Macaca fascicularis: one gene and its partners. The protein of the gene in region 4 interacts with the protein of the main gene of each other region in a biochemical or structural test. Links are inferred from orthologs where the notes say so. Each region holds a gene or a part of one and is shown on either strand. Other genes may lie near its edges.

Region 1 (4,237 bases), on a different chromosome or scaffold from region 4:
ATCTGGGTCTGTGTTCCACGTCACAGGATCAGACCAGCCTCCTTGCCTGTCCTGGGGGAGCAGCCTGCTACCTGCCCCCTCACTTCATCCTCTCACTTTGCTTTTTATTTATTTTATTTTTTATTCTTGTGGGAACATAGTAGGTATTTATGTTTATGGATTACATGAGACATTTTAACACAGGCATGCAAGGCATAATAATCACATCAGGGTAAGTAACATATTCATCACCTCAAGCATTTATCCTTTGTGTTACAAACAATCCAATTATACTTTTTTTTTTCTTTTTAGACAGAGTTTCGCTCTTGTTGCCCAGGCTGGAGTGCAATGGTGTGATATTGGCTCACTGTAACCTCCGCCTCCTGGGTTCAAGAGATTCTCCTGCCTCAGCCTGCCGAGTAGCTGGGATTACAGGCATGGGCCACCATGCCCCGGTAATTTTGTATTTTTAGTAGGGACGGGGTTTCTTCATGTTGGTCACACTGGTCTTAAACTCCCAACCTCAGGTGATGCGCCCACCTCGGCCTCCCAAACTGCTGGGATTACAGGCATGAACCACCGTGCCTGTATTATCCTCTTTTGGTTATTTTTAAATGTACAATTATATTATTTTTGACTATAGTCACCCTGTTTTGCTAGCAAATACTTAGTCTTATTCATTCTTTCTCTTTGCTTTATTACAAAGCAATAGATTTGCCTTCTCAGGTTGTGAGTGTTCAAATAATCTATAAAGCACTGATAAATACTAGGTGCTATTTTAAGTGATAATATTTACATGTCATCACGGCATTTATACAACATAGCACACATTACTTTTATCTGCTTTCTTGTGTATCACCTCCTTGCCTTACTAGAATATAATCTCCACGAGGGCAGGAGAATGATTGGTTTGTTCACTGCTCTATCCGCCAGGGCCTGGCATACAGAACTGTACCTGGCATTCAGAAGGCACTCAATAAATATATGTTGAATTCAATGAATGAACTGAAGTCTGGAGAGGCAGGAAACGCTTTGGCTTTCATGAATTCTGCAAATATTTACTGAGCACCCACTCAGCGCCAGGCAATAGGCTGTCTCATTTTTACAATATTAGCTTGAGACTCTGGCAGGAGGGAGATTTAAAAATCAAGTTTTTAGAAAAAGGTACACAGTGTGAAATGCAGTTTTAAGTGGACACTCCGTTGGGTTTTGAGAGATGCACACTCCCATGTACTTACACTGCCGTAAAGAAATAGACCATTGCTTCACCCCACAGGGCGAGGACTTGGAGCACAGGTAGCACGAAGGCAACTGACTTGCAGGGATGCTGGACGCAGGACCCTGCCTCCGGGGACTGCGGGGGCAACGGCTGGCGGGCGGGCGGGGGCGGGACTACAAGTCCCAGGCTGCTTTGCGCACCCGCGGGCCTTGCGGAGCGATGGGGCGGTGCGGAGGGGTAGGGGGCGCAGCGGCGGTGGCGCGAAGGCGCGGGGAGCGGGCGCGGGCTTGGGCTCGGGCTCCTACCGTTGGCGCGCGGTAGCTATGCCGGGGGCTGGATCCCGGGCGGAGGAGGGCGGTGGCGGCGAGGGCGCGGCTCAGGGGGCGGCCGCGGAGCCCGGGGCGGGTCCCGCGCGGGAGCCAGCGCGGCTGTGCGGCTATCTGCAGAAGCTGTCGGGCAAAGGCCCCCTGCGCGGCTACCGCAGCCGCTGGTTCGTGTTCGACGCGCGCCGCTGTTACCTCTACTATTTCAAGAGTCCGCAGGACGCGCTGCCCCTCGGCCACCTGGACATCGCGGACGCCTGCTTCAGCTACCAGGGCCCCGACGAGGCGGCGGAGCTGGGCGCGGAGCCGCCCGCGCACTTCCAGGTGCACAGCGCGGGAGCCGTCACGGTGCTCAAGGTGGGACCGCGCGCCCCAAAGCCGCCCTTGCGCTTCCGCAGGCGCCCGCTGCCTCGACCACGGGCCTGCGCCATCCACCCTCCTTCCTCCAAGGCCTCCTCGCCCCTGACCACGTCGGCCTGCCTTTCCCTGCGTCTCCACATCCCGCCCTTGTTCCTATCTTCACCCCTCTACCTGGGCTTCGGCCAGTCTGGCTGGGGCTACCCAGCCCCATCTCCTTCCTCAGACACCTTGACCCATTATCCCCTCTGCGCCTAACCTCGGGCCCCTCTCTGGTGTCTCCCGACCCCCACCATCCCGTGGATGTCCCGTGCAGCCTTCCTAGGCCTGTAACCGTAGGCTTCTACCCTCGGGGCCTCCTTTAGAACTCTGCCGGCGGGGCGCTGTGGCTAACGCCTGTAATCCTAGCACTTTGGGAGGCTGAGGCGGGTGGATCACGAGGTCAGGAGATCGAGACCATCCTGGCTAACACGGTGAAACCCCGTCTCTACTGAAAATACAAAAAATTAGCCGGGCATGGTGGCGGGCGCCTGTAGTCCCAGCTACTTGGGCGACTGAGGCGGGAGAATGGCGTGAACCCGGGAGGCGGAGCTTGCAGTGAGCCGAGATGCGCCACTGCACTCCAGCCTGGGGGACAGAGCGACTCTGTCTCAAATGAAAAAAGAAAGAAGACCTCTGCCTATAACCTTGGTACCTCAGTGAACCGCTCTGTGCTGCAGCGGCCTCCTCTGTAAACTGGGATAGCAGTAGTATCTACCTCATGGGGTGTTGGGATTAAATGAATTATAGTCTAAACTGCTCAGTAAATGTTAGTGCTTTTATTTATTTGTTTATTCTTTTTGAGACAGGATCTCGTTCTGTTGTCCAGGCTGGAGTGCAGGGGTGCAATCTTGGCTCATTGCAGCCTCTATGCCTGGGCTCAAGCGATCCTCCCACCTCAGCCTCCCAAGTAGCAGGGACCACAGGCGCAGGCCCCCACGCCTGGCTAATTAATTTTTTTTTTTTTAAAGAAACGGGGTCTTACTATGTTGCCCAGGCTAGTTCCGAACTCCTGGGCTGAAACCATTCTCCCCATCCAGCTTCCCAAAGTGCTAGGATGCCAGGCGTGAGCCAGAGTGCATTCAGCACTGTAGACAGAAAGAGTCAGAGATGGCAGGGCCCTTAGAGACAGTCCACTACATTTCCCTCCAGAGTGGACAGGAATGCTCCAGCTAAGGTGACAACAAGTAGGTGGCAGAGCCTGTTTTCTTGCTCCTTGCTTTGTCCAGGAGAGGTGAGAGGGGGTCGCTTCAGCCAGTTATGACTTGCTCCTTTGAGGCTCCCTTAATCCTCCAGTGAAGAGACACAATGAGAGATACAGTGTAGAGGCAGGAGAGTAGAGTCAGGAGTCCTGGTGCTGAAAGGCCTCCCCTGTCCTTAAGAGTCCTGGGGGACTAGACTGTCACCTCCTAGGAGCCTACCTGCTTTGAGCACCTGGAGGGATCTGGGCCCAGGCCTGGAGCTGGGTATCCTTTCTCCAGGCTTTGCTCCCTGCCTGGTTCCTATGAGTCTCCACCCTCACTCTCTTACGTATTCCCAAGTTGGGCTTTCTCCAGGACAACAGGGTTGGGCTGGGATGTATGAAAGCGCTCTCAAAGTTGGCCACGTGGAGAGCAGAGTAGGCAAGCGCCTGGCCTTATGAGCTGATGACTGTTCCTCAGACCCCAGAGCTGCTAACAGCTGGAGCTGCTCCCTGGAGATGTTCTTAGAGCTTTGTTGACTCAGCTTTTGCCAGCTTAAGCAGGATCTGATTCCCGTGTTCTCTTGGGCTCCCCTGTCCTGTCTGTAAGTGTGTGCAGACAGCCTGTTTCCCCAAAGAAAACCAATTCGGGTTGCAGTCCTACTCAGGCCTACTTAGAGAGTGCCTGTATAATCTTGGGAATGACCCTAGTGGGAGACCTTTGCCAAAGGCAGAGGCTCTTCCTCAGTGTACATACGGGCTGTCCCTGTGTCGTATTAATTTCCTGTGGAATGTTTGTCAAAGAAACTAGAGCATCATGTTTCACATTTTTCCCAGATGACTGTAGAGCCCTCTGTCGGTTTTTTTTCATTAAAATAATCTGAATCTCCTGTAATCCCAGCACTTTGGGAGGCCGAGGTGGGTGGATCACAAGGTCAGGAGATCAAGACCTGGCTAACACAGTGACACCCCAACTCTATTAAATATACAAAAAATTAGCCGGGTGTGGTGGCGGGCGCCTGTAGTCACAGCTACTCGAGAGGCTGAGGCAGGAGAATGGCGTGAACCCATGAGGCGGAGCTTGCAGTGAGCAGAGGTCGCACCACTGCACTCCAGCCTGGGTGACAGAGCGGGCTCCGT
Region 2 (4,017 bases), on a different chromosome or scaffold from region 4:
TTCTCAGTGACTTCTAATGTCTGAACTACATGGGTAAGTAAAGGTTGAGTGAATGACTAAAAATAAAGTCAGTTCTGATGGAGCAGCAACTTCATACAAGCAAGGGGAGAAATGCTTGAGCCTCTGGGTCTAAAAGGATGCTAAATTACCAACCAGGCCTCTGGCTTCCCTTGTGTTTTGGGGTGAGGACCCCTAAAGCATGTCTCTTCTTTTATGTAAAAAAGGGAAAGGGGTACTGAATATTGGACAGACCAAGTGGGAAAAGTGGCTAGAGAGGACTTCAGATTTTGAAATGCAGATATGGAAGGAAAGTCTCAAAGTAAGGTGATTGGAGGTGGTTTCCTTTTAGTCATGGCAAGTAAGGACAGGCAATTGTGAAAAAACCAGGGATCTAATTCCAGCAACAGCCAACCAATCCTACAAACCCTGAGTTAATTTTTGGTATCAGGGAGAGGCACAGTGAGTAAAAAATAAAAATAAAAAAAATTCACTTCTACTGGATGCATACACTAATACAAGGTGTTAATAATAATAAGGGAACTGTGAAGTGGGGAGAGATATATGGAAGTTCCCTGTCCCTGCTGCTCAATTTGTCTGTAAACCTAAAAATAAAATCTAATTTACACACACACACACACACACACACACACACACACACCCCTAAAAAGGGATCTCTGCTGCAATTTGCAAGGTTTTCTGTTTTCGGGGGCTGTTTTTTGTTTTCCTACAGGCTCATAATTTCAAATTAGTGATGCTTCCTTTTTTTTCTATATATATAAAGGCTAGAAGAAAACTTGTCGAACCTTTATATTCTAAGAACTGAGTAATTATTCTACAAACCAACAAATATTAACAGCGTCCTATAACCAACTCATTTAATCTTCACACAATCCTATGAAATACTACTGTTCACATTTTACAAAAGAAGAAACAATTCAAAGAGACAAGTCGAACAATACATACTAGAACGAGGCGACTACTGTGGATTCCAAAACCAAAGTTCCAAACCACAAAATCGAATCTAGGAAAACTGGCGCTCTCGAGTGTCGTCAGTTAAAAAACAAGGAACACCAGAGAAGGATCGCGATATTACACAAACTACTACTCCCAACATGCAAAGCGGATTCTTTCCCTCGGTATCGGCCTGGGAGTCCGAGAGGCCCAGCAGCCTTCGGGGCGCGAAAGGCAACCTGGGAGCGGTAGTTCTCCTGGGCCCTAGTATTGTCGCCCACGCGGCAGTAGCGGCTTCTACGGCTCCAAGCCAGCGGGTCCTGTGAAGGCGAGCAGACGCGGAGAAAGGACGCGGGAGTGAGAGAGGGTGAGTCAGCTACTGTCTAAACGATAAAGGGAGGCGGCTCCGCAGGGTAGGGCTGAATTCAGTAAATGGGCTCGTGCTGCGGTCTCTTGGGAGACGCTGCTATCTTAGCGTCAGCGAGGGAAGGTTGAGGAGGAGCCAGAGCCGGGTCCTGCAGCCTTTCTCGCCATCAGCGCCCGTCGCCATCTCCACCATGCAGTCCCGGGAAGACGCCCCGCGCTCTCGCCGCCTCGCCAGTCCCCGTGGTGGGAAGCGGCCCAAGAAGATTCACAAACCCACGGTTTCGGCCTTTTTCACGGGTCCAGAGGAATTAAAGGACACGGCCCATTCTGCAGCCCTGCTGGCACAGCTCAAGTCCTTCTACGATGCGCGGCAGCTGTGTGATGTGACCATCGAGGTGGTGACGCCTGGCAGCGGGCCTGGCACGGGTCGCCTCTTCCCCTGCAACCGCAATGTGCTGGCCGCCGCGTGTCCCTACTTCAAGAGCATGTTCACAGGTGGCATGTACGAGAGCCAGCAGACTAGCGTGACCATGCACGATGTGGACGCTGAGTCCTTCGAGGTGTTGGTCGACTACTGCTACACGGGTCGTGTGTCTCTCAGCGAGGCCAACGTGGAGCGCCTGTACGCGGCCTCCGACATGCTGCAACTGGAGTATGTGCGGGAAGCCTGTGCCTCCTTCTTAGCCCGACGTCTTGACCTGACCAACTGCACCGCCATCCTCAAGTTTGCAGACGCCTTTGGCCATCGCAAGCTGCGATCCCAGGCCCAGTCCTATATAGCTCAGAACTTCAAGCAGCTCAGCCACATGGGTTCAATTCGGGAGGAGACTCTAGCAGATCTGACCCTGGCCCAGCTGCTGGCTGTCCTGCGCTTGGATAGTCTGGACGTGGAGAGTGAGCAGACAGTGTGCCACGTGGCAGTGCAGTGGCTGGAGGCTGCTCCCAAGGAGCGGGGTCCCAGTGCTGCGGAAGTCTTCAAGTGCGTGCGCTGGATGCACTTCACTGAAGAAGATCAGGACTACTTAGAAGGGCTGCTGACCAAGCCCATCGTGAAGAAGTACTGCCTGGACGTTATTGAAGGGGCCCTGCAGATGCGCTATGGTGACCTGTTGTACAAGTCTCTGGTGCCAGTGCCAAACAGCAGCAGCAGCAGCAGTAGCAGCAGCAACTCTCTTGTATCTGCAGCAGAAAATCCACCCCAGAGACTGGGTATGTGTGCCAAGGAGATGGTGATCTTCTTTGGACACCCCAGAGATCCCTTTCTCTGCTGTGATCCATACTCGGGGGACCTTTACAAAGTGCCGTCACCTTTGACCTGTCTGGCTCACACTAGGACTGTCACCACCTTAGCTGTCTGTATCTCTCCTGACCATGACATCTATCTAGCTGCCCAGCCCAGGACAGACCTCTGGGTGTATAAACCAGCTCAGAACAGTTGGCAGCAACTTGCAGATCGCTTGCTGTGTCGTGAGGGCATGGATGTGGCATATCTCAATGGCTACATCTACATTTTGGGGGGGCGAGACCCTATTACTGGAGTTAAGTTGAAGGAAGTGGAATGCTACAATGTTAAGAGAAACCAGTGGGCATTGGTGGCTCCACTGCCCCATTCTTTTTTATCCTTTGACCTAATGGTAATTCGGGACTATCTCTATGCTCTCAACAGTAAGCGCATGTTCTGTTATGATCCTAGCCATAATATGTGGTTGAAGTGCGTTTCTCTGAAGCGCAATGACTTTCAGGAAGCGTGCGTCTTCAATGAGGAGATCTACTGTATCTGTGACATCCCAGTCATGAAGGTCTACAACCCAGTTAGGGCAGAATGGAGGCAAATGAATAATATTCCCTTGGTCTCAGAGACCAACAACTACCGGATTATCAAGCATGGCCAAAAATTGTTGCTCATCACCTCTCGCACCCCACAATGGAAAAAGAACCGGGTGACTGTGTATGAATATGATATTAGGGGAGACCAATGGATTAATATAGGTACCACATTAGGCCTCTTGCAGTTTGATTCTAACTTTTTTTGCCTCTCTGCTCGTGTTTATCCTTCCTGCCTTGAACCTGGTCAGAGTTTTCTCACTGAAGAAGAAGAAATACCAAGTGAGTCTAGCACTGAATGGGACTTAGGTGGATTCAGTGAGCCAGACTCTGAGTCAGGAAGTTCAAGTTCTCTTTCTGATGATGATTTTTGGGTGCGTGTAGCGCCTCAGTGAAATGCACAGGATAAGCAGGGTTTGTTGTAACTGAATTGAAACACTAAGTTGTTTTTACTGTTTTGGAAAATATCTTAAATATCCTTTTTGTTCCTAAAGGAAAGGAAAAGTTGATTAGCTGCCGGTTTGGTTTAGAAAAAGTAATATTTGAAATACGAAGGTAATTTAATATTACAAATGTTAACACTCAGATCAACCTTTTAATAATTTTCTGTGCTAAGGGTCCAGTATTTATTTGATTATTTAGTATGTTTATGTTTCATGACACTAATTTAGTCTTTTGATAAATTTTACATTCTGTTTACTGCCACAAGCACTGTGGCAGTAACTTTTGAATTTTAATGTTTATGATAGAAAAATGATTAGGAATTGCTAGATAGTGTTTTGAAAGCTTATCTTTTTCTTCGGAACAATGTAGATTTCCAAAATGGTTAACCTAAGGGGTCTTTGCAAAATGTGTTATAAGTTAAACATAATTTGG
Region 3 (4,178 bases), on a different chromosome or scaffold from region 4:
TTCAAAACTCCACCAACAATTCCTAGTCCAGTTTTCTATTGTACAGATTAAAAAGTTAAATTCCTTGTGGCACTAACCAAAACTTAAAAATTAACAGAAGACTGAATTAATTAAAAAAAAAAAAAGCATACTAACTAATCAAAACAATCCACTGTGCAATGAATATTTGAACAATGAAAAAAACCTACCAAGCATCCCAGTCAATTACATAGTTCTTGCTTCCATATTTTAATTTTGGACTTTCAGGAAGGTATATTATTAAACAGGTCGATTTTGTGGACTGTTTAAACCTTGTAGTATTTCAAAATATTACCCTTTCTAAACCAAATCTGTGGTCCTGGTCAACTTTTTTTTTTTCAAGAAAAAGAAAGGATATGTGTTTAAAATACATTCCGTAGCAGTAGAAACATCTTAGTGTCTCAAAATCTATTTACAAAGAACCCTGCTGATCCTGTGCATTTCGCTGAGGTGCTACTTGCACCCAGACTTCATCATCTGAAAAAGAACTTGAACTTCCTGACTCAGAGTCCAGCTCACTGAATCCATCTAAGTCCCATTCAGTACTAGACTCACTCCGTGCATCATCTTCCTCAGTAATAAAACTCTGACCAGGTTCAAGGCAGGAAGGATAAACACGGGCACAAAGGCAAATAAAGCCAGAGTCAAACTGCAAAAGGCCTAACATAGTACCTATATTAATCCACTGATCTTCCCTAGTATCATACTCATACACTGTTACTCGGTTCTTTTTCCATTGTGGGGTTGTAGAAGTGATGAGAAGCAACTTTCGGTCATGATTGACAATCTGGTAGTTGTGGGTCTCTGAATCCAAAGGAATATTACTAATCCGCCTCCATTCTCCCCTAGCTGGGTTGTAGACCTTCATGACTGGGATGTCACAGATACAATAGATTTCATCATTGAAGACACATGCTTCCTGAAAGTCACTGCGTTTAAGAGAAGCACAGTTCAGCCACATATTGTGGCTAGGATCATAGCAGAGCATGCGCTTACTGTTGACAGCATAAAGATAGTTCTGAACCACTATGAGTTCAAAGGAATAGAAGGAATGAGGGACAGGAGCCACCAATGCCCACTGGTTTCTCTGAACACTGTAGCATTCCACTTCCTTCAACTTAACTCCAGTAGTAGGGTCTCGCCCCCCCAAAATGTAGATGTAGCCATTGAGATATGCCACATCCATGCCCTCACGACACAGCAAGCGATCTGCAAGTTGCTGCCAACTATTCTGAGCTGGTTTATACACCCAGAGGTCTTTCCTTGGCTGGGCAGCTAGATAGATGTCATGGTCTGGGGAGACACAGACAGCTGAGGAGGTAACAGTCTTAGTGTGAGCAAAGCTGGTCAAAGGTGATGGCATTGTGTAAATGTCCCCTGAGTAAGGGTCATAGCAGAGAAAGGGATCTCTCGGGTGTCCAAAGAAGATCACCATCTCCTTGGCACACATACCCAGTCTCTGGGGTGGATTTTCTGCTGCAGATACAAGAGAGTTGCTGCTGCTACTGCTGCTGCTGCTGCTGTTTGGCACTGGCACCAGAGACTTGTACAACAGGTCACCATAGCGCATCTGCAGGGCCCCTTCAATAACGTCCAGGCAGTACTTCTTCACGATGGGCTTGGTCAGCAGCCCTTCTAAGTAGTCCTGATCTTCTTCAGTGAAGTGCATCCAGCGCACGCACTTGAAGACTTCCGCAGCACTGGGACCCCGCTCCTTGGGAGCAGCCTCCAGCCACTGCACAGCTACATGGCATACAGTCCGCTCACTCTCTATGTCCAGACTATCCAAGCGCAGGACAGCCAGCAGCTGGGCCAGGGTCAGATCTGCTAGAGTCTCTTCCCGAATTGAACCCATTCGGCTGAGCTGCTTGAAGTTCTGAGCTATATAGGACTGGGCCTGAGATCGAAGCTTGTGATGGTCGAAGGCGTCTGCAAACTTGAGGATGGCGGTGCAGTTGGTCAGGTCAAGACGTCGGGCTAAGAAGGAGGCACAGGCTTCCCGCACATACTCCAGTTGCAGCATGTCGGAGGCTGCGTACAGGCGCTGCACATTGGCCTCGCTGAGAGAGACACGACCCGTGTAGCAGTAGTCGACCAACACCTCGAAGGACTCGGCGTCCACATCGTGCATGGTCACGCTGGCCTGCTGGCTCTCGTACATGCCACCTGTGAACATGCTCTTGAAGTAGGGACACGCAGCTGCTAGCACGTTGCGATTGCAGGAAAAGAGGCGACCCGTGCCAGGCCCGCTGCCAGGCGTCACCACCTCGATGGTCACATCACACAGCAGCCGCGCGTCGTAGAAAGACTTGAGCTGTGCCAGCAGGGCTGCAGAATGGGCCGTGTCCTTTAATTCCTCTGGACCCGTGAAAAAGGCCGAAACCGAGGGCTTGGAAATCCTCTTGGGCCGCCTCCCACCGCGGGGGCTGGCGAGGCGGCGAGAGCGCGGGGCGTCTTCCCGGGACTGCATGGTGGAGATGGCGACGGGCGCTGATAGCGAGAAAGGCTGCCGGACCCGGCTCTGGCTCCTCCTCAACCTTCCCTCGCTGACGCTAAGACAAGCCGCGTCCTGGAACAGACTGCGGCACGGGCCGCACTTCTGAATTCAGCCTTAGCCCGCGGTGAGGTCTCCCTTTATTGCGTAGACAGTGGCTGACTCACCCTCTCTCACTCCCGCGCCCTTTCTCCGCCTCCGCTCGCCCTCACAGGACCCGCTGGCTTGGAGCCGCGGAAGGCCCCACTGCCGCGCTGGCGATCCCGCTAGGCGCCCAGGAGAACTACCGCTTCCAGGTTGCCTTTCGCGCCCCGAGGCCTGCTGGGGCTCTCGGACGGCCGGGCGGGGACAGAGGGAAAGAAACCGCTTTGCATGTTGGGAGTAGTAGTTTGTGTAATATCGCGAGCTTTCCTTTCGCTGACTGCCCTAACAGTAGAAATTAATTCTGGATATGATGGTGAAGTGACGATGTCTCACTATTGTTGTCCAGGCTGGTCTTGAACTCCTGAGGGCTCAAATTATCCTCCTGCCTCTGCCTCTCAAAGTGCTGGGATTACAGGCGTGAGCCACCGGGCCCTGCCAGTATTTCATAGGGTTTTGTGTGATTGAATGATACGTTACATAGGATACTTAGATACATGTATTTTTTTGGTTAGAAGAACAATAAAGCGTTACCCCGTGCCTAGAATGTAGCCAATAATTGTTAGATTCTCTTTTATAATTTATGATAAATGAGGCACCCACTAATTTGAAACCAAAAAATTTTTAAAATTTTTAAAATTATTTTAAACCGCAAAATTTTACAAAGAACTTAGTTTTTAATTTTTATTCTTTTGAAAGATTTTGAAGGGCATTAACTATTTTCAATGTTAAATGGTACGTATTGGCCTTGTTTAATAAGGATGTCTTAGACGACTAGGTTGAGGTCCTAAAGAACGGTGTTAATAGATGGCCTCAAATATGCAAATCGGGCATATAAAAATAGATTATTTGCTACTCTCACTAACATTTCATCTCTGGGGAGCAGGAATATTTTCATTAAGCTCCAAATATGAGTGTTTTCAAGTCGTCTAATACAGTCTCTTTCACTGCCATTCCACATATCAATTAACAGATTCTGTAATTGCCTTTATTAAGGAGTTTTAGGGAGTATTTAACTCAAAATATTTCAAGAAACAGACTTTGTTCTGTACAAAAGCACGTGATTCTCAGAATTCAGCATTAGTACATGCCCTGACATTCCTTGAATTAACATACAGTATAGCCTATGCTTTACAAAAGTCTTTTATATTTGCATTGATCAACAGTTAAATCATCAAAATCAAGTATTAGAGATTTGAGGCAGGAAAATAGGGTCTGGAGGCAGGGAACATAAGGCCGATTCACACTTTAGCTATAACAAGAAATACCCTCTCCATAGGGTGTATGCCGAGTAAATGAGTTTGTAACTTTAATTCATTCTCTTCGTTTACATAGGGTATACACCAAGTAACCAGTGAATCCTCTAGAGGGTATTTAAACCTCCAGGAATTCTGTAACAGGGCCCTTGAGCCCTGTGCTGGGCCTGCGCCCACACTGGAGTGTACTTTCATTTTCAGTACATCTCTGATTTTGTTGTTTCATTCTTTCCTTGCTTTGTTTATGTGTTTCTTCCAATTCTTTGTCC
Region 4 (4,193 bases):
AAGTGATAAAGCAGACCGCAATACCTGGAGGGAAGGCAGGGGTTTGGAGAGGAAGAAAAGGGGGAGGGGTAATTATTAAAGGATTGGTTTCCCAGAACCAAGGTTAAATTTCCAGGAATCCCAACTCTACTCCTCACTATGGTAGACCCTGGGCTAGATGCTTTGCCTCTTTGGGTCTCAGTTTTCCTCTTTGTAAAATGTGACTAATACTCAATAGACCTATGAATTTTTAAAATAGACAATCTGTTTCTAGCAGTCTTTTTGATATGTTGTGTCTTTGAAGATAATTTCAAGATCCCACCAACCCCTCCTCTCTGAAGGCACAAGCATACCTCTTCTTTTCAACTGTTAGCTCTGAAGAAATATTGGTGGGACTAAACTCTGGTTATGCGAGCAGTCAGGATACGCCACTGCTTGAATAACACCAATGGTCAAGCTGGAATGGGCTTTAGGAACCACTACTCTAACCCTCTTTTCTGTAAACAAGGCACTCTATCTAGCACAGCAAGATTAAAAGTTCTGCCCAAGGATGCAGTGAATTCCCAGAACTAGAACCAAATCAAGGAACCTGCGTCATAACTAGAAAGAAGGTCACAGACTGAGCACCTTGGGAGCAGCTCAGCGCTGGTTAAAACATAACCCTAGGGAAGCTGAAATCTGAGTGACAGTCTTAATGGCTTAAAAATTATCACAGGAGTAAAACATTTAACACCAAACTATGAGCATGAAAAGAACAGAATGCACTGAAATATTCAGAATACACATAAGTATTTATCTATTTCCAATACTTAACAGTGTGAAGTCCACAGCACGTCATTAATTCTGGTTAATAACAACTATATTAGAAACTGAGAAACAGTATGGCACGGAGGTTAAGGTCTCCGAGAGCTCCACAGTCCGTCAGACAGGGTTAGAATTCCGGCTCAAACACAGATCAGCAATGTGAAACCTTTAGGAAGTTACCGCATTTCTTTGTGCTTTGAATACTCCGTCTGTAGAACGGGGATTATAATCGTGTAAGGATTAAGCGAATGATTACAGACTGAGTACTTATACTGCTACTGTAAACTATTAGTAAAATATGACTGTATTTTTTAAATATCATTGCTCTAAAGATTGGTATCACCAGAACTCGGCAAAATTTTCAGGTATCCAAGGTCCAGAAACCAGCAAAGTATTTTGTAAAGGATCCTTTACCGAGTAAGGGATTAGCTCACCCCTCTATAAACTGAAAACCCTTTGGTAATTTCTGAGGAATGGAAGAGCCCTAATGACTTTTTTTTTTTTTTTTTTAAAGGAAAAGGGGTACAAGAGGTTTCTACTGCTGGGCTAAGGCCCTGCTGGCTTCTGGTAGCTATAAAACCACGAACGTTAGGTAAGGATTAGAGAAGAAACCCAGAGTGGCTGCGAATCAAGATAAGACATCAGATAACAGCAATTATTTTACCATGATGTGACATGTAATCCTGATGTTCCTACCTGAAGATAAAGAGCACAATTTTAAAAATCTCTGCTCCTCCATTTCCAAAATCCAACAGCTGCTGGTCCCTTTACCACTTAAAAGTCATACTCTGCCCTCCAATTCGGCTGCGCAGCCCACATTAGAGAAACACCAGGCAAGGGGCGGGGGAGGGGGTAATGGGGAAAACGCCCGGATGGTGAAAGACACCTAATGTTTCTTCTCTGTTCCTACTCACTACCTGCGCTAGTTTTAACTACTTAAGCCGGTGTCCAAAACACAGAAAAAACGTCTCAGTCCTGCCTTATCGCGTGCAGGTGCCAGGTGATCAGAAATCAATACCGGGGGAGGCTGGCTGTCCCCACACATTTCCCGGAGCCTAGAACGATGAGGCATGAGGGCTGTTGCGCAGAGAACGTGACCTTGTTTTTCAGGCCCGGACTGTCTTGTGCTCCCCTACCCCCCTGTAATGCAAGAAAAGAACCGAATAGCTTCTGAACCTTTTCCTCCCAAGCCCAATGATATGACAGCCAAAGTCAACTTCATTAAAGGAGAACCAGCCAAGGCAGAAATCGACCGGGTTTGCGCAAACCTCACCGCACAGCACAGTGTCCCCGCGTTCTTAAAGGGAGCCAATCCACGGCCCTGATCTAACCACTCTCGCACACAGGGGCGCTATTTTGCGCACCTCAACCCACACAGGGTCTCAGTATTGCTGAGACCGTGTGGGTTGCTGAGTCACTGAAGATGGCAGCTCGGCCCCAAAAACACCGTCAGCCCTGAAGTGGGGTTCAGGCCCCAGGCATATGTGGTTTTAAAAGCTCCGCAGTCTGGACGTCCATTGGCTCGGGCACTGAAGGGCGTTCAGGATTAACTAATTATCGGCACCTCCCTTCCCCAGAGTCGCCTGGGCGCCCCAGGGAAGCCATCTCGACTCCCAGCCCCCGCCCCCGCGGGCCCTTCCCCTCCCATCCCCCCGCTCCTCTACACTCACGGGGACCCTGTCCGGATATTTCTTCCGGATCTTTTCTCCTTCCTTTTTCCGATACTCAAAGGGATGGTCCTCCTTGTACTGGAACTTCATGATGCACCGCAGGGCTTCCGAAATTCCCCGCGCGGGGCCTGCCTCCTTCGCCGCTGGCCCTGTCCAGCTCCCTCCGCCGACGTCAAGGTGTGCTCAAATAGCTACAGAAACGTCCGCTCCCGGGGCAACAGCGCTGGGCCGAGCGTGCAGAGGGGGTTCGGTGTGGGGGGGAATCTCGGGTGAGCCTGCCCGGAGATAGAGGAGAGCCAGGTGGAGAAATACCGGCGGCTTTTCGCTGGAGCTGCGAGCACAAAAACAGTTGGGTGGCGCGTCGGGCTGTGACGTCACCCTGCGCGCCCCGCCCCGCCCCCCAGGCGCCGAGGGCAGGGGGCGGCCGAGTGCTGTCTTAACTGCGTTTCCTTTCTGGCTAACGTTTTTCAAAATCGATGTCATTGCAAACATCAAAACATTCTAGTTGTGTTTTATTTTGTGACTGTGAAAGACGGTTTTAAGACAAAAACAATTTTAAACATGTTTTATTCCCCCTCCACTGTTTTTCTTGGTTTGGCCCCAAAACAAATACAAAAGGCGAAAATCCTTTTCCTGCTGGTTGGGATCCAGCCTCAGGGGAAAAGAGGCCCAGGCCTCCTGGGATCCCTTTGGCCAATGCAGAGCTGTCTCGTGCTTGCACCGTGCCCTCTGCGCTTTCCGCTGCCCCTCCCGCGGCCCTCCTCCCGCGCTGGCGTCACAGTGTTTGGGCCGCGCCGCAGTTCGCTCCTGAACAGCAACATAAACAGAGCGTGACTCAGGAATTTGAAGAGAGGAGTCAGATGAAGGACGCGGAGTGTAATCAAGGTCCAAAGGAGACGTGATGTCAGTCAGGACTACGGAGGGCTTCACGTACAATCAAATACAGTAATGATTCACTTTCTAGCCGGACGCGGTGGCTCATGCCTGTAATCCCAGCACTTTGGGAGGCCGAGGCAGGGGGATCACCTGAAGTTAGGAGTTCGAGACCAGCCTGACCAACATGGAGAAACCCCGTCTCTACTAAAAATACAAAATTAGCTGGGCGTGGTGGCCCATGCCTGTAATCCCAGCTACTCTGGAGGCTGAGGCAGGAGAATCGCTCTAACCCGGGAAGCGGAGGTTGCGGTGAGCCAAGATCGCGGCATCGCACTACAGCCTGGGCGACAAGAGCGAAACACCGTCTTAAAGAAAAAGAAAAGAAAGAAAGAAGTGATTCACTTTCTGCCATTAACTCAGAAAGGAGGCTTGTCTTCTGGAAAAGAGAGTATCAAGCAATTTAGGTGATGACCTCAATTCTTCCCCCACATCTTATTTAGTTCCAGTGGTTAGGTATCCCTCACGTGGCTGGAAAGCGCTGCCTGGAATGCCAGTGGAAGATTGGGCATTGCGGCAGGTGCGGCGAAGCCTCGTTCTCGCTTTCCCCACCTAGAGTCAAAGAATAAAGACCTTCCAACCAGTACGGTAGGCAGCGACACGGAGGACCGTGGAGATTGCAAAGAAAAAGAAGAGTGAAAACGGGCTGCGTTGCCCATACAAGCCGGGTGAGTTCTGAGAAATATTAGACAACAGCAGCCCCATGGCCTATCTTCTTCAGTCGGGGTCTCAGTGTCTAATTTTAAAAACACCCACAAGGGGACAGGCGCGGTGGCTCACGTCTGTTCTCCCAGCACCTTGGGAGGC

Evidence for each region. The genes of interacting proteins can lie anywhere in the genome.
Region 1: the proteins of GABARAPL1 (region 4) and TBC1D2B form a complex in vitro, tested with the Homo sapiens proteins (2 studies listed by BioGRID and IntAct). The link is inferred for Macaca fascicularis from reciprocal best matches to the Homo sapiens genes GABARAPL1 and TBC1D2B.
Region 2: the proteins of GABARAPL1 (region 4) and KBTBD6 form a complex in vitro, tested with the Homo sapiens proteins (2 studies listed by BioGRID and IntAct, with this or other methods). The link is inferred for Macaca fascicularis from reciprocal best matches to the Homo sapiens genes GABARAPL1 and KBTBD6.
Region 3: the proteins of GABARAPL1 (region 4) and KBTBD7 form a complex in vitro, tested with the Homo sapiens proteins (2 studies listed by BioGRID and IntAct, with this or other methods). The link is inferred for Macaca fascicularis from reciprocal best matches to the Homo sapiens genes GABARAPL1 and KBTBD7.

The regions. Positions count from the first base shown.
Region 1 is NC_088381.1:55,436,483-55,440,719, reverse strand, and holds the start of TBC1D2B (TBC1 domain family member 2B), read left to right. Parts: upstream 1-1,437; 5' UTR 1,438-1,521; coding exon 1,522-1,878; exon of another isoform or gene 1,879-1,954; intron 1,955-4,237. UniProt on the Homo sapiens protein: GTPase-activating protein that plays a role in the early steps of endocytosis.
Region 2 is NC_088391.1:20,478,023-20,482,039, reverse strand, and holds the start of KBTBD6 (kelch repeat and BTB domain-containing protein 6), read left to right. Parts: upstream 1-1,217; 5' UTR 1,218-1,508; coding exon 1,509-3,536; 3' UTR 3,537-4,017. UniProt on the Homo sapiens protein: As part of the CUL3(KBTBD6/7) E3 ubiquitin ligase complex functions as a substrate adapter for the RAC1 guanine exchange factor (GEF) TIAM1, mediating its 'Lys-48' ubiquitination and proteasomal degradation.
Region 3 is NC_088391.1:20,548,002-20,552,179, forward strand, and holds the start of KBTBD7 (kelch repeat and BTB domain-containing protein 7), read right to left. Parts: upstream 2,801-4,178; 5' UTR 2,489-2,800; coding exon 431-2,488; 3' UTR 1-430. UniProt on the Homo sapiens protein: As part of the CUL3(KBTBD6/7) E3 ubiquitin ligase complex functions as a substrate adapter for the RAC1 guanine exchange factor (GEF) TIAM1, mediating its 'Lys-48' ubiquitination and proteasomal degradation.
Region 4 is NC_088385.1:10,692,672-10,696,864, forward strand, and holds the start of GABARAPL1 (gamma-aminobutyric acid receptor-associated protein-like 1), read right to left. Parts: upstream 2,801-4,193; 5' UTR 2,544-2,800; coding exon 2,454-2,543; intron 1-2,453. UniProt on the Homo sapiens protein: Ubiquitin-like modifier that increases cell-surface expression of kappa-type opioid receptor through facilitating anterograde intracellular trafficking of the receptor. Involved in formation of autophagosomal vacuoles.